2 linked regions of the Sus scrofa genome follow. The protein of the gene in region 2 purifies or fractionates together with the protein of the main gene of each other region. This does not show direct contact. Links are inferred from orthologs where the notes say so. Each region holds a gene or a part of one and is shown on either strand. Other genes may lie near its edges.

Region 1 (10,805 bases), on a different chromosome or scaffold from region 2:
CAGATTCGTTTCTATTGTGCCACAACAGGAACTCCAATAGTTTGTATCTCTTAATCCGGTCCCTACATTGCTCCTGCCCCCTTCCCTTTACTCACTAGTAACCACCAGTTTGTGCTCCATATCTGTGTGTCTGCTTCTTTTTTGTTACATCCACTGACTTTTTTTTTTCTTTTTTTTTTCCTTTTTGCCATTTCTTGGACCCCTCCCGTGGCATATGGAGGTTCCCAGGCTAGGGATTCAATTGGAGCTGTAGCCGCCGGCCTACACCAGAGCCACAGCAACACTGGCTCCTTAACCCACTGAGCAAGGCCAGGGATTGAACCCCAAACCTCATGATTCCTAGTTGGATTCGTTAACCACTGAGCCACGACGGGAACTCCCACTGACTTCTATTTTTAAAAATCCACCTATAAGTGATATCATACAGTATTTGTCTTTGACTTATTTTACTTAGCATAATACCTTCCAGGTCCATTCATGTTGCTGCAAATGCCAAAATTTCATTCATTTTTTTGAGGGGCGGGTTATTGGAAACTTTTACTTGTTAACAGGTTGGTTTTTCTAATTAATTAGTACATAGAGGTTTTGTAATGGCTAGCAATCTTTTATTTTTTAATGACTTATTATTTCCATTATCAAAATTTCTTTTTCTTTCTTTTTTTTTTTTTTTTTTTTTTTGCTTTTTAGGGCCAGATCTGCAGCACATGGAAGTTCGCAGGCTAGGGAACCAATTGGAGTTGTAGCCCCTGGCCTACACCACAGCCACAGCAACATGAGATCTGAGCTGTGTCTGCGACCTACATCACAACTGCTCATGGCAATGCCAAATCCTCAACCCACTGAGCAAGGCCAGGGATCAAACCTGCATCCTCATGGATGCTAGTTGGGATTCGTTTCCACTGAGCCACCAGGAACTCCCCAAAATTTCCTTCTTCATTGTGGCTGAGTGGTATTCCTTTGTGTATTTTATGCATCATATCTTTGTTATCCACCTGTTACTGAGCACTTAGGTTACACATGTCTTGATGGTTGTAAACAGTGCTGGATGAACACTGGAGTGCATGTATCTTTTCAAATTAGTGCTTTTGTATTTTTTTTTTTTTTTGGAGAAACCTCCATGCTATTTTTTATAGTGGCTACATGGATTCACATTCCTACCAATAGTATAAGAGGGTTCGATCTCTTTTTTCTCTTTGCTTTGTAGGGCCACACCCAAAGCATACACAAGTTTCCAAGCTAGGGGTCGAATCAAGAGCCACAACCACATCAACTCGGGATCCAAGCCGTGACTGTAACCTACACCACAGGTCACAGCACTGCTGGATCCTTAACCCAGTGAGCGAGGCCAGGGATCGAACCCACATCCTCATGGATACCAATCGGGTTTGTTATCACTGAGCCACAAGGGGAGCTCCGAAGTTTCTCTTTTCTCCACATCCTCAACAATATTTGTTATCATGGTCTTTTTGGTGATGGCCACTCTGACTGGTGTGAGGGGATACCTTGTGATTTGGGTTTGATTCACCAGTGATTAACACTGGCCACACTTGTACTCTTCCTTGCTTTCTCTCTCACATGTTTATTTCACACAGCATGACTTCAACCCTAAAAACTTTACCATGTACTTCCTATCAAGGTCATTCTCTCACAATACAGTAGTTATCCACACTCAAGAAACTTAATACTGATATAATACTATTATCTAATATAAACTCCCTAGTCAAATTTCCCTAACTGTCCCAATAGCACTCCTTATAAATTATTTCCTCCAATCCAAGATCCAATCAAGTTATCACACATTACATTTTGTTGTAATATTCTCTCAATCTTCATGTCTTTTTTTTTCCATAACACTGTTTGAAGAAACCAGGAAAACTGCTTTGTATAATGCACTTTTTTTTTTTTTTTAATGCCACGCCTGCGGCATACAGAAATTCCCAATCTAGGGGTTGAATTGAGCTACTATAGTTGCCAGCCACAGCCACAGCCACAGCAGATCTGAGCTGCATCTGTGGCCTACACCACAGCTCATGGCAATGCCAGATCCTTTAACCCACTGAGAGGCCAGGGATTGAACCTACATCCTTATGGATCCTAGTTGAGTTCTTAACCTGCTGAGCCACAATGGGAACTCCTATAATGTGCCTTTTTAAAACAATTATCTTGATCTCCCCTCTTGCTCCATGATTTGATTCAGATTAAATATTTTTGGCAGCTTCCTTACTTACATAGATGTGTCCTTAAAAGATACACATTGAGACATGAAGAAAGAGAATAAGAGAATTATAAGAATTACATCAATTATGTTAAGGATGATAAATGTGGTAATCACATAATTATCATAATCCTATGATCAAGTATGGCAGACATGTACACTCTTTAAGAAAGCACTCCTGGGAGTTCCTGTCATGGCTGAGCGGTTGACAGACCTGACTAGCATCCATGAGAACACAGACTCAACTCCTGGCCTCGCTCAGTGGGTTAAAGGATCCAGCGTTTTGTGAGCTGTGGTGTAGGCCAGCGGCTACAGCTCTGATTCAACCCTAGCCTGGGAACCTCCATAGGCCATGGGTACGGCCCTTAGACAAAACAAAAACAAAAACAAAACACTCGCTATCCAGAAGGAAGGAGAGTGCTTGCTGTTAGTCCCACCAATGTCAATCTGAAGTCACTTTTTTCCAGGTACACTAGTCAGCCTAGTCTTTTCTGCCCAATACAGGTCTTCTCCAACAGATGATCTTAGCTCTGGCTCGCTCCACGGGGCTGACAGAGACTTTGTCAGGTCAGCATTATGATCTGATAACTTGTTTTGTTCAATCCTGCTTCCTTCCATTTCCTTTTACTGATGTCACTCCCCAAGAAATCAACTGCACTCCTAATTCCGTCTCAGCATCTGCTTCCTGGAAAACCCAACCTGAAACATTCTAAGAGATGAAAAAAACTGGAGATCAGAGAACTTTCATTGCCATTGCAAATCATAGCTGTAAGGTGATACAGCTACTAGGATTTGAATATAAGCAAATTGATTCCTGAGTCCAAACCTTATCACCTTCATGTTGTAAATCAATGTAGTACTCTCAACATACACAGGATCTACCCCTTAACTGCAATTGTCCTATTTCTCAGCTAAGTTATTGCCAAGAAAATCATCCTGAGAAACCAAATCTTTCATTCGATATCTGTTAACACATATGTCAACTTTTAGCTGAGATTCTGTGGGACTACTAACTCTTTACTTATTATATTGTTTTTTTTTTTTTTTTTTGTCTTGTTGTCTTTTTGCCTTTCTTAGGCCGCTCCCGCAGCATATGGAGGTTCCCAGGCTAGGGGTCTAATCGGAGCTGTAGCCGCCGGCCTATGCCAGGGCCATAGCAACGCGGGATCCGAGCCGCGTCTGCAACCTACACCACAGCTCATGGCAACGCCGGATCGTTAACCCACTGAGCAAGGCAGGGACCGAACCCGCAACCTCATGGTTCCTAGTCGGATTTGTTAACCACTGCGCCACGACGGGAACTCCTTGTTATGTATTTTGATGATTATGATGTAAAAAAATCATACACACTTTCAGAAGCCAGTATTCTTTGTCATATTATATATCCCAGTGAAGGATGCTTTTAATGAATGTGGCTAATACTATAATCTGTTTTAAAATAATTCAGTGGGAGATAATATATCATGGTGAATAAGAACACTGATATCCATTCACAATGACATTAGTTGGAGTCCCATATCTGCTCCTTTTTTGCTGTACGACTTTGGGCAAACCACCTGACCTAAGTTATAGGGTTATAATGAGGATTGAATATAAGTGAAGCACTTTAGCAGAGTGTCTGAGAGAACATATATATTTAATAAATGGTAAGCACTATTAAATACAAATCTTTTAAAATTATCTCCTAAATGCCAGGCATTGCACTAAACTCTGGTGATTCAAGACAGATCAGCAACATCCTTTAGTCCTTGAAGAGGATCATAGCATAACCAGGGGAAAGAAGAAAACTAAAAACTACATTTAAAAAAAAAAAAATTCCAATAGATTCTAAAGGCTGATCACGTCATTTCATTACATACCAAAGTGGCTTATTTTGCATACCTTCTGATTAAGAAATAGTTTTTTTTTTTTTGTCTTTTTGCTATTTCTTTGGGCCGCTCCCGCGGCATATGGAGGTTCCCAGGCTAGGGGTCAAATCGGAGCTGTAGCCACTGGCCTACGCCAGAGCCACAGCAACTCGGGATCCGAGCCACGTCTGCAACCTACACCACAGCTCACGGCAACGCCGGATCCTTAACCCACTGAGCAAGGGCAGGGACCGAACCCGCAACCTCATGGTTCCTAGTCGGATTCGTTAACCACTGCGCCACGACTGGAACTCCTGATTAAGAAATAGTAAGACAAGGTATTCCTGTTGTGGCTCAGCAGGTTAAGAACCCAATTTGTATCCATGAAGATGTGGGTGTGATCCCCGGCCTCACTCAGTAGGTCAAGGATCTGGTGTTGCTATAGCTGTGGTGTAAGTCGGCAGCTGAAGCTCTGTTTTGATCCCTAGCCTGGGAACTTCCATATGCTGCACGTGTGGCTATAAAAAGGAAAAAAAAAAAAAGAAATAATAAGACAATATTAATATTAACAAACTTTATACCCTTCACTCAATATCTATCAAATAAATACAACATCCAAATTACACATTTTTAAATCATTTTTATTGAACTAATTTTAATAATGCTGTTTTAGCTGGTGGCAGCTGCCCCAAACCAAAACAAAGCCACTGTGAATGCTATTCAACATTCTCAAAGTAATCCAGTTTAGTTTTGTACTTGGAATATAGTTAAACTTTTGACATCACATAATCAAGCAAATAGCAGTGCATACTATATTATTCAAAAAGACTTTATGCAGGTTTCATTTAAAAAATCATTTGCAAGAGGCTTAGACTTCAGCTTTATCAACAATCTCATTGACAGTCTATACTTCATGCTCTCAAAACAAAGTGTCCTAAAACTAACTCTAAGTTTTTTACTGATATTAAGATTACTAATCAGGGTTATAGGAATTGAAATTTAATATTTTACAGTATAGGAGGCAATAAATTACTAATATCTGCTGACACAAATTCCACTCAAACTAAATACATCCTTGATACATTCAAAAAGACATCTTGTAAATATTAATATGCTAGTTTATATGCTGCAGTGCAAAAGAAGTTGACACCCTAACAGTTTCCTGAGCTTTAGGAAATTAACATTTTTCTGACTACAACTCTCAATTTAAAATAGGCTCTTTATATTATAAGAAGCCATGTCAAAACTATACAATTAAATCAAGTTTTTGAAGAACTGAAAAGATTGGTCAGAGTTATGATCATTTAGGATAATGAAAAAGTTTTCAAAGCAAAAGTATTTACAAAGCTACAAAGGATTCATGGGTTTATATGTAGTATAAATATCAAAGATAACCAACTCATTACCAAATGATCACAATTACCCCTTCTCTTTCAAAAATATTACACCAAAAGACTTTACGGAAAGTTATCTACCATTAAATATACCAACCTGTAGAATACTATACATTTGAACACATTCTTTCAAAATGCCCAGTAAGAAGGAATAAAAGATAAAATATTAAAAATCAAGAAAATAAACATGCTTTTAGGAATGTTTTTGCATGACTATATGTCAGAAGATGTGAGAATGATTTCTCATCAGACCTCTATACCCTCAAAATTACAAAGACCGAGTTTCTACTTCAATTTTTTCTTCTGCTTGTAGGACATCAGGATCAACATGAACAACAGGAGGCCGCAGGATGACTTCAGGCCCTCCACCATATATAGACTGTAGAAAATTCCACGTTTCTTCAGAAATCTGACCAGAATCTGCCCCTAAAATTAAATATATGTAGAAAGAATAGTATTTACAAACTTACATATTCATATTGGAAAAACCTTCACAATGTACCCCCAGCACAAATCTTGTACCAGTATAGTAACTGAGAACTTTGAGAACATGAATCTTCACACTACCAGCTCATACTGTCACAAGTTGCAACACTATGGTCTGCCTTAAAAAGTCAGAGATCCTTGGGAGTTCCTGTTATGGCTCAGTGGTTAACGAGCCCGACTAGTAACCATGAGGTAGACTAGTAACCATGAGGTGGCGGGTTCAATCCCTGGCCTCGCTCAGTGGGTTAAGGATCCAGCGATGCCATGAGCTGTGGTGTAGGTCGCAGACGCGGCTCAGATCCCACACTGCTGTGGCTCTGGCGTAGGCCAGTGGCTATAGCTCGGATTCAACCCCTAGCCTAGGAACCTCCTATATGCCATGGGAGCGGCCCTAAAAAAGACAAAAGACAAAAAAAAAAAAAAAAAAAAAGTTGGAGATCCTTTTCCCTTGCCCCTATAAACAGCCTTAAAACCTTTCTTCAGATAAAAATTAAACACTGACAATTTTTCCACTATCCTACTTCATATATGAATTACATCACTGAACTGGGTAAAAAAAGTGGCAGAGGAGGCTAGTCATGATATATTCTTGACAGTGACAAATCACTAACAAATAAAGGCTTAAGTATTAGTCAAACTTACCTTGCCTAAGTGTGACATTGCCACATTTGGTGATTGCAATTTTAGTGTTATCAATAGGACCTGGAGGATCTAAGTCAAAAGGAAAAACAAATAATCAAAATGTATACTTTTTAAAGAAATGCACCAAGAACTGTGCCTGAAATAACTGAAAGATGTAACTGTATAATCAGATTATTTTTAGTCAGAGTATTATCATTTTTGCCATGCCCACAGCATGCAGAAGTTCCTGGTCCAGGGATGGAAGCCGTGCCACAGCAGCAATATCAGATTCTTACCCACTAGGCCACCAGGAAAGTCCTTAGTTAGATTTTTATAGTCAGTTAACTGTATTCTTCTTTTATTGCTTTTTTATTTTTTAGGGCCCCACCTGCAGCATATAGAAGTTCCTGCTAGGAGTCGAATAAGAAGAGCTGCAGCTGATGGCCTACACCACAGCCACAGTAACACCAGATCCTTAACTCACTAAGCAAGGCCAGGCATCGAACCTGCATTCTCATGGATACTAGTCTTAACCTGCTGGGCTATGCAGGAATTCCCTTGAACATATTCTTCTGAGTTTCTTCCTTTTTGGGTCTTAGTTCTGCCAAAACAGAACCAGGAAAGAAGGTGAGAGAAGTCCTCTCACTCACCATCCAAAATGTAACAGAAATGATTTCTTGGAGTTCCCGTCGTGGCGCAGTGGTTAACGAATCCGACTAGGAACCATGAGGCTGCGGGTTCGGTCCCTGCCCTTGCTCAGTGGGTTAACGATCCGGCGTTGCCGTGAGCTGTGGTGTAGGTTGCAGACGCAGCTTGGATCCCGCGTTGCTGTGGCCCTGGTGTAGGCCGGCGGCTACAGCTCCGATTCAACCCCTAGCCTGGGAACCTCCATATGCCGCGGGAGCGGCCCAAGAAATAGCAACAACAACAACAAAAGACAAAAAGACACACACACACACACACACACACAAAAAAGAAATGATTTCTTAACTGTCCATTGGGGATTACAGGTTAAAAGGCACTTTTTATGCTAAATAAGAATAATTCCTTTGTAATTTAAAAAGAAATTATGCAACTCTTCAATTAGTTTAGAATGTCATTAAACTAAAAACAATAAAAAGCATTGTAAAATGAAATGTTAAAATGCATCTTTTTTTTTTTTTTTTGTCTTTTTGCCTTTTCTTGGGCCGCTCCCGTGGCATATGGAGGTTCCCAGGCTAGGGGTCTAATCAGAGCTGTAGCCACCGGCCTACGCCACAGCCACAGCAACGTGGGCTCCGAGCCGCGTCTGGGACCTACACCACAGCTCACGGCAACGCCGGATCGTTAACCCACTGAGCAAGGGCAGGGACCGAACCCGCAACCTCATGGTTCCTAGTGAGATTCCTTAACCACTGTGCCACGACGGGAACTCCCATCTTTTTTTTAATATAAGGAAAAAAGCTTTATTTGTCTTTCCTTTGAAAGTACAGTGAATGTTCATTATCAAAAACTGGGGGAAAAAAAGGCACAAGAAAGAAAAAAAATACTATCATCTCAGTACAGAAAGATAAGCAAATTGTTTTAATCATCTTTGTGGTCTTTCTGCCTTTGCATACAGTTGCCTTTTTTCTGTTTTAATATAAAGTGTTCAAACTACACATACTGCATTACAATCTTTTCATAAATCAAGAATAGGAGTTTCCATCATGGCTCAGAGGAAACGATCCTGACTAGCATTCATGAGGACACAAGTTCAATTCCTGGCCTTGCTCAGTGGGTTAAGGATCTGGCGTTGCCCTAAGAGTGGTATAGGTTGCAGATGTGGCTGGGATCTGACGTTGCTGTGACTTTGGCATAGGCCAGCTGCTACAGCTCTGATTCGACCCCTAGCCTGGGAACCTCCATATGCTACAGGTGCGGCCCCAAGAAGACAAAAAAAAAAAAAAGAACATCTTATTTTTAAATTAAACAGTTACACAAATTATTTTTAAAGCCCACATAGTATCCCATTTTAACAGATAAAATAATTTAGCCAATCTCATTAATTTTTTAAAAGCATGCTTCATTTTATTTTTTGCTGTACCCACAGCACAGGGAAGTTCCGGGACCAAGGATGGAATCTGCACCACAGCAGTGACAATGCCAGATCATGAACCTGCTGAGCCATCAGGGAACTCCTAACCAATCTTATTGTTGGGAGGATTTTTTAAAATTTTTTTCAATGTTAAGGTTGCAGATTAATTTTATTCAGTTATTTTATTCCTGCCATGGATATGCCGTAACTCATGAAAAAGTTAAAAAAAAATTAAAAATAGGGAGTTCCTTGGTGACTCAGCAGGTTTAGGATCTGGTATAGTCACTGCTATGGCTCAAGGTGCTGCTGTGGTACAGGTTGTATCCCTGTCTTGGGAACTTCCACATGCCACATTCATGGCCAAAAAAAAAGTAAATACATAAACAAATAAAAAATAAAAATAACCAAAACAGATAAACCAGAATGTACAATCCTTGAGGGCAGGAACCTTTTTCTCTCTTGCTCATTAGTATAATCGCAAGTGCACAGAGATATTCAAGAAACATTTGTCAAATAAACAAAAAATCTGCAAAAAAAAAATTCTTTTAAATACTTACCTCCATCTTTACCCTTCACAAAACTTTCCCATTCTCTAAACCACTGCATACTGATGCAATAAAAAGTAGCTGGCGAGTCCTCCTCTTGGAATGCTCTGTTGAGCTATAGGGGGGAAAATCAGTTATCTAAAGTCTAGAATTTGCTTTGTAGTAAAACAATACAACCATTCTATACTTCCGCATCTGGTAAGGCCAATTCCTCACAAAGAACACAACAGATGTACATTGATGCTAAGTTATGTTGATACTAGGATACAGGGTAACACCTATTAAACAATTCTAAGTTATAACTTAAAATTTAGTACACACAAAAGGGGCATAAAATATTAGATAAATGAAAACGGTCAGGGTAAAGTCTTCACAACAATAAATACTGCACACATTTATTAAAAATCTGATGTATAATTCTTATTTAAATATACTATACCCACTGTCTACATCTTACTTCTATTCACTTAAGATATTGGTGGCCATGTTGCTATTATAATGTTGCAATGAATAATCTTGTACATATCATTTCACAGATAATAGACATATATAGAATAAATTCTCAAAAGCAGTGGGACAGTCCTTTTTTTTTTTTTTATTCTTTTGGCTGTGCCCATGGTATGTGAAAATTCCTGGGCCAGAGATTGAACCTGTGCCATAGCAGCAACAACCCACTGGATCCTTAACCCGCTGTGCCGCAAAGGAACTCCAGTGGGATAGTCTTTGAGGATGTTCCATTCTCTCCTCTAGTCATAAGGCCCAAAGAATGGGTATGTGACTTAATCTAGGCTAACTACTAGAAATGGAAATCTTCAGAGGAGTAAACTAATGATTGGAATGGAGTAATTCCAATGTCAATTTGTTGGCTATACTGGAATACTCATGGTTCCTGAACTTGTGAAAGTTTGGTTATTCAATTTTTCTTTTCAATAAATTTCCTTTTTTGTTTAAATTAGTCAATCTGACTTCTACTACTTTCAACTAAAGGAACCAAATTGATTAAAAAATTGATATATGTATATATAGAGAGAAACAGTAATGGAGCCTGAGGAAAATGAAGAGTATGTGAAGGGAGTTTCCTTTGTGGCTCAGTGGTTAACAAACCCAACTAGGAACCATGAGGATATAGGTTCAATTCCTGGCCTCGCTCAGTGGGTTAAGGATCCAGCATTGCCATGAGCTGTGGTGTAGGTCGCAGACACGGCTAGCATCACACGTTGCTGTGGCTGTGACATAGGCCAGCAGCTACAGCTATGATTCAACCCCTAGACTGAGAACTTCCATATGCCTCAGGTGCAGTCCTAAAAAAAGCAAAAAAAAAAACAAAAAAAGAGTATCTGAAAATTATCTAATTGTAATACTGTGAAAAGAAAGTGAGACTCCTGAAACAATGCCATGATGGGTAATTAAAATGCCCACGGTACATACTACCTACAGACAAAGGCAACTAAGTTCCAATCATTTCTCTCCCATAATCAAATCTAATCCAAACTCTACTATTGTACCAAGATCCCTTGGTACAATAGTAGTTTGTTAACTTAACAAAGTTAACAAAGTTTAGAGTTTGTTAACAGCCCAGAATTACCTCCACGATCTGGCCCCAAGATTGGACATCATATTCTAATACTTTCCCCCTCATTT
Region 2 (11,548 bases):
GTTAGGAATGCAGTGAAACTTATGAAATTCAGAGGAATTGGGGAGAAGCCCAGCTGGAATTAGGGAATGGTCTGAATACTTTTTAAGGACATTCACGTCTATTGTTTTCAAGGACACAGAATCACAGAGTTGGAGGGAGCTTCATCCAGGCCCTGCTTAGTAAGGGAACCCCTTGTGCCTCATCCCATGAAAAGCATTATTTGTAATTCTCTTGAGTGCCTCCAGGCCCTGCTTAGTAAGGGAACCCCGTTATTTGGAATTCCCTTGAATGCTTCCAGTGATGGGAGACTCACTCTTCTGATAGAGAACCTCTTTCACCCCAAGAAAAGTCTTCCTTTACCTTCCCACGTAGGTCTCCTTGCCTTCTGGTGTTGATGTAACACAGGTACACTCCTTTTCCCCAGAGAGTCCGTAAATGTTTGAAAGCGGCTATCATGCACCAAATAGTCCTTTGCGGCATTCTCTTCGGCAAGCTGACCATCCCCAGGACATTAAACCATTATTTATGTGGCAAATGTCATCAACTCAAATTAGAAACATAAATTGCTGTCTCTAGTTAGCCTCTTAGTTAATGGCTATGTAAACTCAGAGCGAGGCAGAGCTTAGAGACCACCTGCATGAGTCTTCGTATTCTACCAATGAGCAAATTGAGGTCCCCTGAGGAAAACGGGAAAACTACTTGACCCAACTTGAGAGAGAGACAGAGAGAGAAACACAGAGCGAGGAGAGGCCCAGTTGAGACCTGCAGTCTAGCTGCAGAAGTCCCAGTCCAGGCCTCTTGTCACCTTACCCTGCCTCCTCGTATTCATAGGACATAAGAGTTTCTCAAGTTCTTGAAAGTGGTTGGGAAGTTTGTTCTCTGAGGTATTTCAAAAATTCCTCCTTCCAATTATATTTGCACTGTCCGTCAAGTAGGGATTAGCACAGCGCTGAATTTAGTGACGGTTGTTCTGTCAACGGAAAGCATCTTTCACAGTGTGTTGACCCTCCCTGCTCTCTGCTGGCAGAAGGTCGTGTCCCCTGCCCTACAGTGCTCGCTCGAAATGGACAGCACATTATAGGGCCAGCTTGTCCTGCCCAGTGTTCCATAAGGTCAGCTACCTGCTCGATGGAGGAAATCTTCCACTTTTGGAACCAGACAGTGAATCTGCCAGGGCACGAGGCGGGCTGTATTTCTGCTTTCTCCTGTGCTTGTTTTACTGTTTCACATCCTCTTTTCAATTTGGCCTGATTCTCTGATGAAAAGACAAAGCAAAGACTCAGAGAAGCACACCAGGCACTTCAGCAACTGGCTTCCTGTCTCAGTCCCCAGCGCACCCTGCAGTCACATGCTTCCCGGGGAACATTCCTCTGTCCCCGACCCACAGCCATCTCCCTCTTCTCTCAGCAAGGTATTGCATTTCCAGTTCTGACATGTGTTCCTGCATGTATGGTGAACTGCATCATGCCACTTCCTGTTTGCATGTGTGCAAGGAATCACATGGACCTGGGTTCCAGTCTAAACGCTGCAGCTAGCTGGTTGTGTGGCTTTGGCAAGGGACTTAACCTTTCCCCTCATTTGTTAGATGAGGACGGTTTTGCTACCTACTTCCTAAGACTGTCAAGGTTACATCATGCCTAAAAGCTGCCTGTTACAATGCTGAACGTTTAGTAATATTTCATAGACGGTATCTGTGTAGTATTACTAGTATTATGCTCCAGAAATCAGAGATTGAAACCGGTATTTTTCTCCTGCTGCACACAGTAGTTGTAAATAACTCCTGGCGGATTCTGGTCAAGCTTCTCTTGGTAGGAGGTGCATCAGAAACATTCTAAGCATCATTTAACGACAGGTCCTACTTCCCAGCTCCCTTTCCCCCAGGACCCTTCTGCCAGTAATGATCTCAGTGAGGAGGCCCACCCTGTTCTGCCACTTTGCACATCTGTCAGCTTGCATCTCAGGATAAAGTTCTCACTTGACAGACTCCAAGAACTTGCTGTCCAGGCAAAGACAACTTTATGATGATGCATCCAACACACACCTTACGTAACCAACCTGTCAGTAAACAGGGACAGATGCTGGCAAATGCCCACTCCCCAAAAGAAACAAAACGGGATGAAAGGAGATGGAAAGCAAGCAACTGAGATAGGCCTTAAAGGCTCCTGATTGTCAAAACCCTTAAAACTGATCAGAGTTCTTGTATTTAAAGTATTCCCAAACAGACATGAATTAGGCTAAAACTCCCTTTTAGCTGGAAGTTTATGAAGTAACGTCATAGCTGAGTTTTTAATTAAAACTACATTAGATAATCCTCTAACCAAAAGAGTATGTATGTATTATTGTCCATGGGAGTTAGACATGATGATGGTAAGGTTTCCAACCTTTTTTTAAAATAAGCCTATGGTAAATTTCTACCTGGAATGGCTTGAAATTTCTGGCAGGTCATAAAGAGTTAAGGAATCTCCCAGTTTCCCTAAATGCTGAGAAAAAGGAATGATTCTCTTGTCCCTACTGCACATTATTTGTTTATTGCCTGTGTTTTGTATTACGGACCTGAAAGAAATGTTAACATCTGCAGAAATGAATTGGTTAATGTGCCAGTCCCAAGGAAAAGCTTCCGCGATTGAGAGTGAGGGCAGAATCCCATGATAATGTGGTAGAGAGAATACACCAATTCTGGGCACGACAGCTGGGTTGCCTGGCATTAGCCCTGACTCTGACATCCTTGGCTTCTTACCTTGGGCTGATCTTCCCCCTTCTCTTTGGATGTCAGATGCTTTCTGTGCTTTCTCTTCCAAGTCTGAGATCCCCTGAGCCTATGAGGAGTGTGAAGATTAGCTGGAGAAGTTGCCTGCATCTCTGAGTGTAGGGCCCAGAGCAGGGGAAGCATGTGATAATGGGTATGAAAGCCCTTGGAGAAAAAGCAGAAGTGCTGAACGGCACACTCTCCAATGTGTGGAGGCATATTCTAGAAAAACAGGCTCCCAACTTTCTCCTGAGAGCTCAGTACTCATCCAGACACCCCATCACTGCACTGAGAGGAAGTAGAGAAGACACATGCTTTTCTGGTCGGAGACCTTGGGTGGGAAGGGAAGGGAAGGGAAGAAAGAAGTGGAGTCAGCTTCATGAGAGTGTGAAGTGGCAGTGAACCTGCAGGTTGATCTCTCCAGGCTGGCGTTGCCAAGGAGGACGATCTACTCGGTCAAACCTGGGCCAAGCGCTGGCTCAGACACCCAGGCAAAAATAGAAAGGGGTGGGAGAAGAAATGTGTTTACTTTTGTGATTTTCCCTTACTGCCTCTTGACAGTATGATCGTCTCTCCACAAACAGGCAGTCGCGGCTCATGGGCCTTGCCTTCATGGATAAACCCTCCCCAGCAGCTCAGTCTCCCCGTCCGTGTCTGGGCAGCAGGGGAGTAGGCTTGGAAGGAGGGGAAGAACATTGCCCTGGGGTCTGGGTTAATGGCGAAAAAAATCCCTCTCTGACGCCCTGCAAAATAAAGTGGTTACATTAGGCAGAATCTAAAAATCTGTTTAGATTTTTGAAGTTTAAAACTGAGGTTCTCAACCAGGGGAAATTTCATTCCTTAAGGGAGGGGTATTAGGAAATGTCTGCAGACATTTTTGGTTTTCACAACTCAGGAGGTGTTCCTGGCGTCTAGTGGGAAGAGGCCAGGGATGCTGCTGGACACCTGGCGATGTATAGGACAGCCCTCAACATTGGAGAATTATTAGAATTATTAGCTGAAAATGTTAATCTTGTGAGGTTGATAAATCTGGATTTATACTGGAGACTAGAGTCGGGGAAGGGGGGACAGGACGCACAGCAGGACAGAGAAGGAGGGTTCAACCCTGTTTCTCGGTCATGAGCTGTTCACCAGTTAAGTGTTCTCCAGCTTTCCCCCTACATCCCATGGCCTTTTTATTTCCCTTGGAGTTACCAGGCTTTGAGTATTTTCACAAGAACTTCCTTATCCTTAAAATGCCAAGCCCTGGTGTACTACAAAGATCTCTACCCTAAGACACGGTAAAGATAAAAACAAGCAGAAACCAGCAGAACTGAAAGGTGGGTGGTGAGGGCACACAGAGGGACATAACTCTGTTCCTATGAGTCAGTGTTTCTGATGTAACGACACAGAACACTGCATAGGAAGAGCGAGATGAACTACGCTGGGAGCGGACAGACTGCTAGGGGGACATCAGCAGTAGGAGAGAGACAGGTTTGCAGCCGCAGATTCAAAGGCAAACAAAAGGGTTAAGCAATCAGTGCATGTCATTCCTGTGTCATTCCACATTAAGTCACTGGGCACTTATTATAAATAGTTACCTGCGGTTTCCAGTGGGGGAGGAACCACACTCCAGTCAAGGGGTTTTGGAGAAACAGGTGCAATGAAGTCATGGTCAAACAATTTATTTACTGTAAACTTTAGACTTTGCTCAGGAAAACAACCAAAGCTGCCCCTCAAATCCCTGCCTACAACACCCCGTTTGAGCAAATAAGAGGGGTGGAGAGAGTCCATGTTCACAGCTGAAAGGTCCGAGAGACTCAAGATCCTCCAGTCCAAGGGTGCAGGAAGGAAGGTCTCCTTCAGAAACAAATTGCCAGCAGCAATATATTACCCCTAATACTTGATCAATGAGGTAGATATGCGGAAAAGTCATCAAAACATACCAGCCCCACGTCCTCTGGGACCGAAGGCCTGCAGACATAAACTTACACAAGTTCCATGCAAAGAGGAACTGAACTGTACAAGAAACAATCACTCAAATAATGTTTTCTCTTTTTTACAACTTAAAAAAATAAAAAATAAAAAGGCAGAAGGATGTTCCTCCTCCTGCACATCTCTATAGACGTTCATTCTAAATTCATCACACTCGAGTTGTTTAGTGTTTGGCTGGGAGGGAAAGGGGCGCTTAGAAAGTAGACACCTGCATCACAGCATGGAGTCATTTGTACTACAGTTCCTCCCCTGTGAATCAGTGCTATCATCGGGCACAGTACCTTGCCGGTGTGCACAGCCTTCCGGGCCTGGGGGCTCCTCACACAGCCGTTCGCTGTCTTTCTCCTCCCCCAGGTAACAGCCACTCTGTTCCCCTGTGTAGTCAGTCCTACCGTTGCTGTTGCTGGAGCAGCCGTTCCCATAGGCCTTCAGGGAAGACCTGTGCAGGCACAGAAGCTCCTGGAAGGCCATCCTGAAATCTGGACTCCGGCAGTAGATGAGGGGGTTGAACGCCGAGTTGACGTAGCCCACCCAGTTTAGCAGGATGTAAACTTCCTTGGGGATGAGGTTGTCATGGATCCCGTGCACAATGTTGACGATGAAGAAGGGCAGCCAGCACAGGGTGAACGTCCCCATGATGATCCCTAGCGTCTTGAGGGCTTTGTGTTCCTTCAAGCAGAACTTGGAGGACCTCCGATGTCCCGGCCCGCTCCGCCCATCCTGCTCCGCTTGGCTGAGGTTCTGGGCGTGGAAGCGGCCCTCAGACTTGTCGATCTTCTGGAGCTGCCTTCTGGCTACTTGAAAGACCCTGGAGTAGACGAAGACCATGACTACCAGGGGCAGGTAGAAGGACACGATGGAAGAGGCGATGGCGTAAGGCTGGTTGGTGAAGAAGTCGCAGCAGGCCTCCTCTGCATAGCAGTTTAAGGCTTCCCGGTGGGTGGCCTGGTACCAGTGCATCTTAATGGGTAAGAAGGAGATAAGGCCCGACACGACCCACACCATCAGAATGACCACCCGGGCCTTGTTCTTGGTCAGCAGGCACTGGTACTTGAAGGGGGACGTGATGGCAAGGTAGCGATCCACGGCGATCACGCACAGGGTCTCAATGCTGGCCGTGACGCACAGCACGTCAATGGAAATCCAAAACTCGCACCAGAAACTGCCGAAAGTCCACATTTTCATGAGGATGTGGCTGGCCCCAAAGGGCACCACCGCCAGGCCCATGACCAAGTCAGCACAGGCCAGGGAGGTGATGAAGTAGTTGGTGACCGTCTGGAGACGCTCGAACTTGGCGATGGCTGTGATGACCAGCACGTTTCCAAACACGATGGCCAGGACAATGAGCGACATGACGATGGCCATGCCCACCACCCATGCCTCGTTCCGCTCCTGTGGGACGTCCTGGTCCGGCGCATGGCTTCCGTTGGGCGCCAGCAAGAAGACGCTGCGGTTCCCGGGCTGCCCCATGGCGCGCAGGCGGGCAGGTGAGCGCGCTGGCAGCCGGCGCACCCGCCGCGCCTCAGCGGGCCGACCTCCGGCGGGGGGCTGCGGGCAGCGAGCGGGCGCCTAGAAGCCTCATTCAGCGGCCGTGGGGTGGGTGTGGAGGGGGCGCGTGGTGCACTCAGCTCCCGGGGTGCTCGAGGCTCGCAGTGCCGGCGGGTCTCTGCCTGCGCTCCGGAGAAGCCGCCTCGGAGTGCGCGCTGCCCGTTATGTGCACAGGACTTGAGGGGAACTGCCCTCCCCGTGACGTGCTCCAACTTGGGACCAATGGCGCGCGGGAAGCCCCAAAGGGGCGAGGCCCCCCCCCCCCCCCCCGCCCCTTCCCTCCCTCTCCCGCCTCCTCCTGGGGCTGGCCCGGGCGGGGCCCCGCTGCTCCCTGCCGGCCGGTCGCCACTCCCTCCAGGCTACCCAGGCTGGCCCCAGGGCTGAAGCTGAAGTTGGGGGGTGCCGCTTACCAGCGAGCTGGGAGCTGCGCAGTCTTCTGTGGCTGCTACCTGCCTGCCCGGGCTTGTCGTGAGGCCTGAGGACCCTGGGCAGAGGGTAGTGCGCAGGCACTCCCTCCTATTCGGAAATAGACGAGAATGAGAGTGCCCGCCAGGACACGCACGGACAGGCACAATTCACCTGGCAGACGTGCACGGACTTAGACGGAGCCACAGCCACCGACACGCAGACACACCCATCCAGCACACCGACAAGCACACGCGCGTGCGCGCACGGACACACACACACACACAAGCAAATCGGCGCAAAGTCAACCTTAACTAACGCAGAGACGTGGTCAGGAACAAACCCAGCAGCACCCAGAACCACAAAGTCATAGGCACACACGAAAAGAAGTAAACAACACACTAAGGGCCACGTGGAGGCAAGCCGGGAGTCACAGCCAAGGACGTCCCCACCCATGTTCTACAAACCCTTCTCCGGCACCCTGGATCTCCGTCCTTTCCTCCCCAGCATGCGGACATTTCGCATATTCCCTTTCAAACATTTGGCGAGACCTCAGGAGGTGACTTCAGCAGCTGCCCATTTCCTCAGCTCGCTCGCTGTCAAGGACTTTCGGTGCTCTCCTTGGGAATCTGCAGGCACTGAGACAGGCTTTTACGCTTGGGATTTCATTCAGACCTGGGCTATCCATGCGTGTGTTTGGGGACAGAAAGAGAAAGTTGTATGCTTTAATTTTAATTCTAGTGAGTGTGGCATCACTCCTTCATTATCTGTTCAAGTGAAAATGTACTGAAAATAGAATAATTTTTCTTTGAAGCTCTACTTCATTCATGCCTGGGCAACTAGAAAAATCATCTGCTGGGTAGTTTGGTGATCCGAGCCATATGAAATTGCTGCTATTCTATAATCTCTGCTTCTAAAACATGGCAATTTATTATGGTTCACATTACTAAGAATGTGTAACATTAAAAATGTTTTGAGGCGTTCCCGTCGTGGCGCAGTGGTTAACGAATCCGACTAGGAACCATGAGGTCGCGGGTTCCATCCCTGGCCTTGCTCAGTGGGTTAACGATCCGGTGTTGCCATGAGCTGTGGTGTGGGTCGCAGATGTGGCTCAGATCCAGCGTTGCTGTGGCTCTGGTGTAGGCTGGCAGCTACAGCTCCGATTAGACCCCTAACCTGGGAACCTCCATATGCCGCAGGTGCAGCCCAAGAAATGGCAAAATGACAAAAAAAAAAAAAAAAAAAAAAAAAAAAAAAGGTTTGAAACCACAGAAAGGAAAAGGTATTTTTTCTTAAAAAAGTCAGACCAAGCTTCAGACGAGGTCATTTTCCATGAAATATTAGCCTTTGCATCTGGCATGTGACTTCACTGTTAAAAAGAAATTAATTTTCAGGGTTTGATTTTTACATGTATTAGTAGTGTCTTTGAAGAACTGAAAGTGTTTCACTCAGTGTAACCAAACATATTTTCTAGATTACATAATAACTTAACAATGGCTAACATTTATGAAACATTCTGCTATGTGCTTTTCATGCATTATTCCATTTCATCCTTCCCACAGTCGCCTGGTGGTGTGTGTGCTGGGGTGGGTGGGGCGGATAGTTATTTTTAATTTAATTCACAAAGGGGGCTGGAAGAGGAGAATAGCTTGCCCACAGGCACAGCCTGGCAATGCCAGGCAGGAGCTGAACCCAGTTCTCCCTGATTCTAAAATCTCTTTTTTAATCCTTTCAATGTACTGCTTTACCATGTGCAGAACAGAGTGGAGGGTAGAGAAGGATTACAACTGGAATTGGAATACTGCATTCCAGTTTCTTTCTAGCTCACATTCCTTAGGCAAATCCAAAATCTGGAGCCTAATTTCCTCTATGTCTAAATGTGCAATAAAGTTGCTTCTTTTGAGCTAAATGAGAACCAAATGATGTAATGATAAATGAGATAGTGCTTTTGCAAGTAAAAACTTCACTCAAGTAGGGTTATAAATGAGATTGATATAAATTACTGAATAGTCCAGAATATGTTGTTAGTGTTCACTAGTGGACACTGAAGTACTTTAGGACAAAAGGACTTGGGCATTTACTCCAGAACTCAGAAGCAAAACCACATGCCCTGTTTAACTTCCTTCACTAGCAGAAATTGTTTTTGCATGACAAATGCCTTAAAACACAAATATTTCCCATAAAAGCCACAGATATTAATTAAGGATCTATTATGCTCACATAATTTTCAAAATACACCCGTCCCATATTTGTGTTTTCCAAAATTGGCTCTGGCAGGATGCATTTTAGGAAGAGGCCTTGTTTGTTATGCAACATTTCTTTAAATACATGTCTTCTCTGGAATTGTAGAACTGAGCCATTTAAAGCTTCTGTCCTATTTGTGATGCTGTGCAATAAATAAGCATATTGTTTAACTCTCTTATAACCAAAAAAGAAAAAAGAGAGTCCTTTTAGAACAAACCTCATGGATCATTTAGGCATACACATAAGTCATTAAAAATTTAACTTTGAATATTTTGGGAAACACCTTTGAAAAAAGCCACAAACTCTAACTCTAGAAGGGAAGACGGCTTGGCTTACATCAGCACCATTCCAGACCTTTGCCCCACCAGCCCCGCCAAAGGGACAGTACCTTCCCTTCTCATTCTGTTCCCCTTTGTCTTCCCCGCATCACCGAGTCTTTTCCCGACCTTCTTTTAGAGTTGTAGGCTTAGAGATAGTTGGAGCAGCAGAGAATTTACTAGACCCTTTACTTTATTCCTCCTGCTCCTCCAGTTTGCAAGTGAGGGACTAAAGTGCAGGAGCCAGAAGTGCCTGGTTGGAGGCAGCAGAGAAGAGGGAGTCTAGCTCGCTTCCTGGCCTCACATGTTTTCACTGCCCACCATCACGTCTTCATTCCCCCGCAGAAGACTGTGACGAGCACAGCGTTTTGGGCACAGCTTTAGTTGAACTGGAAAGTTCTTTGTAGACCAAAGACACCTGCATCTGACATGACAAAGCAGGCTCTATTATGGTGATCGATAGTGTCTAATTACATACTTTTTTTTTTTTTTTTTTTGGTCTTTTCTAGGGCCGCTCCTGCAGCATGTGGAGGTTCCCAGGCTAGGGATCGAGTCGGAGCTGTAGACGCCGGCCTGCACCACAGCCACAGCAACTCGGGATCCGAGCCGCGTCTGCAACCTACACCACAGCTCATGGCAATGCCGGATCCTTAACCCACTGAGCAAGGCCAGGGATCGAACCCTCAACCTCATGGTTCCTAGTCGGATTCATTAACCACTGTGCCACGACAGGAACTCCCTCTAATTACATATTCTGTCCATCGCTTTAGACACCATTTGTTTTTTCCTGCCTGGCAAACAGAAAAAAAAAAAATCTTGATTTACCAAACAAATGTCTGAAAAGGAGTAAGAGTCTGTGAGCGAAGGAGTGCTCTCACATGAATATCTGGATGCCTTAGGAAAATCTTATCCCAGTCTTGGCTGAGACAAGATTCCTTTCATCTTTTAAAAAAAATGTATGTTGAGGTATAATTGACATGGAACATTATATGGGTTTCAGGTGCGCAACGTAGTGATTGAGTATGTGTGTGCATAGGTGGTGAAATGATCATCTTACGTCTAGTTACTGTTCGTCACCACGCATCATGGTTAGCTCTCAGGGTTTGCTCTCTTGGCAGCTTTGGAGTCAGCTCTGCGGTGTTACTGACCAGGGTCAGTGTGACGCACATTGCATCTCCCCGGCTCATTTCTCTTGAAATTGGGAGCTTGTGCCTCTTGACCCTGCACCCATTTTATCCTCTCTCCATCTCCCCCTGCTCCGGCAGACCCCATGGGCTTCTCTGTATCTGTGACTGTCATTTTGGTTTTTATTGTTTTTTTTAGATTTCATATGTAAGTAGACTCACACAGCCTTTGTCTCTCGTTGACATGTTTCACTTAGCATAATTCCCTTACGGTTAATCCATGTTGTCGCAAATGGCAAGACTTCATTCCATTTTATGGTGGAGTGATAGTCCATTTACATGTGTATAAATATATTTATAGTATATATAATATATATATCCTTTATCTGTGTATTTACCAATGTATACTCAGGTTGCTTCCTTATCTTGGGTATTATAGATAATGCTGCAGTGAATATGGGGATGCATTTATCTTTTTGCATTAGTGCTTTAATTTCCTGCAGATAAATACCCAGATGTGAAATAGCTGGATCATATCGTAGTTCTGTTTTTAATTTTTTGAGGAACTAAACGCTCCTACTTTTCCACAGTGGTAACACCAACTTACCTCCCCTCCAAGAGTGCGTCAGGGTTGCCTTTCCTCCACATCCTCACCAGCACGTGTTATTTCTGTCTTTCTGATGATAGCCATTCTGCTGTGTGTAAGGTAATGTCTCATTGTGGTTTTGATTTGCATTTACCTGATGATTAGTGATAATGAGCATCTTTTCATGTGTCTGTTGGCCATCCATATGTCTTTGGAAAAATACCTATTCAGATCATCTGTTCATTTTCAAAAATCAGAATTTTTTAATTTTCTATTGAGTTTTATGAATTCTTTATAGAATTTTGATATTAACCTCCTATCAGATAAATGATTTACAAACATTTTCTCCCATTCAGTAGCTTGTCTTTCATTTTGTTAATTGTTTCCTTAACTTGCAGAAGTAAGTTTGGTGTAGTTCTGTTTGTTCATTTTTGCTTTTGTTGCCTCTGCTTTTGGATTCAGATCCAAAACTTTATTGCCAAGATCCATGTCAAGTAGTTTACCGCCTCTCTTTTCTTCTGGTTTTATGCAAAGTGGGTAGAGGGACGGTCCCTCAGCGTAACCAAGACCATGTATTCAAACTCAGAGAAAATATCATACTCCATGCTTTTCCCCTCAGATCAG

Evidence for each region.
Region 1: the proteins of ADRB2 (region 2) and USP33 purify together in Homo sapiens (affinity purification with western blotting; 3 studies listed by BioGRID and IntAct, with this or other methods). This does not show direct contact. The link is inferred for Sus scrofa from reciprocal best matches to the Homo sapiens genes ADRB2 and USP33.

What each region holds. Positions count from the first base shown.
Region 1 is NC_010448.4:135,583,620-135,594,424, reverse strand, and holds the end of USP33 (ubiquitin carboxyl-terminal hydrolase 33), read right to left. Parts: intron 9,280-10,805; coding exon 9,177-9,279; intron 6,654-9,176; coding exon 6,585-6,653; intron 5,883-6,584; coding exon 5,725-5,882; 3' UTR 4,683-5,724; downstream 1-4,682. UniProt on the Homo sapiens protein: Deubiquitinating enzyme involved in various processes such as centrosome duplication, cellular migration and beta-2 adrenergic receptor/ADRB2 recycling.
Region 2 is NC_010444.4:150,028,418-150,039,965, reverse strand, and holds ADRB2 (beta-2 adrenergic receptor), read right to left. Parts: upstream 7,318-11,548; 5' UTR 6,659-7,317; intron 6,404-6,658; 5' UTR 6,171-6,403; coding exon 4,914-6,170; 3' UTR 4,375-4,913; downstream 1-4,374. UniProt on the Homo sapiens protein: Beta-adrenergic receptors mediate the catecholamine-induced activation of adenylate cyclase through the action of G proteins. The beta-2-adrenergic receptor binds epinephrine with an approximately 30-fold greater affinity than it does norepinephrine.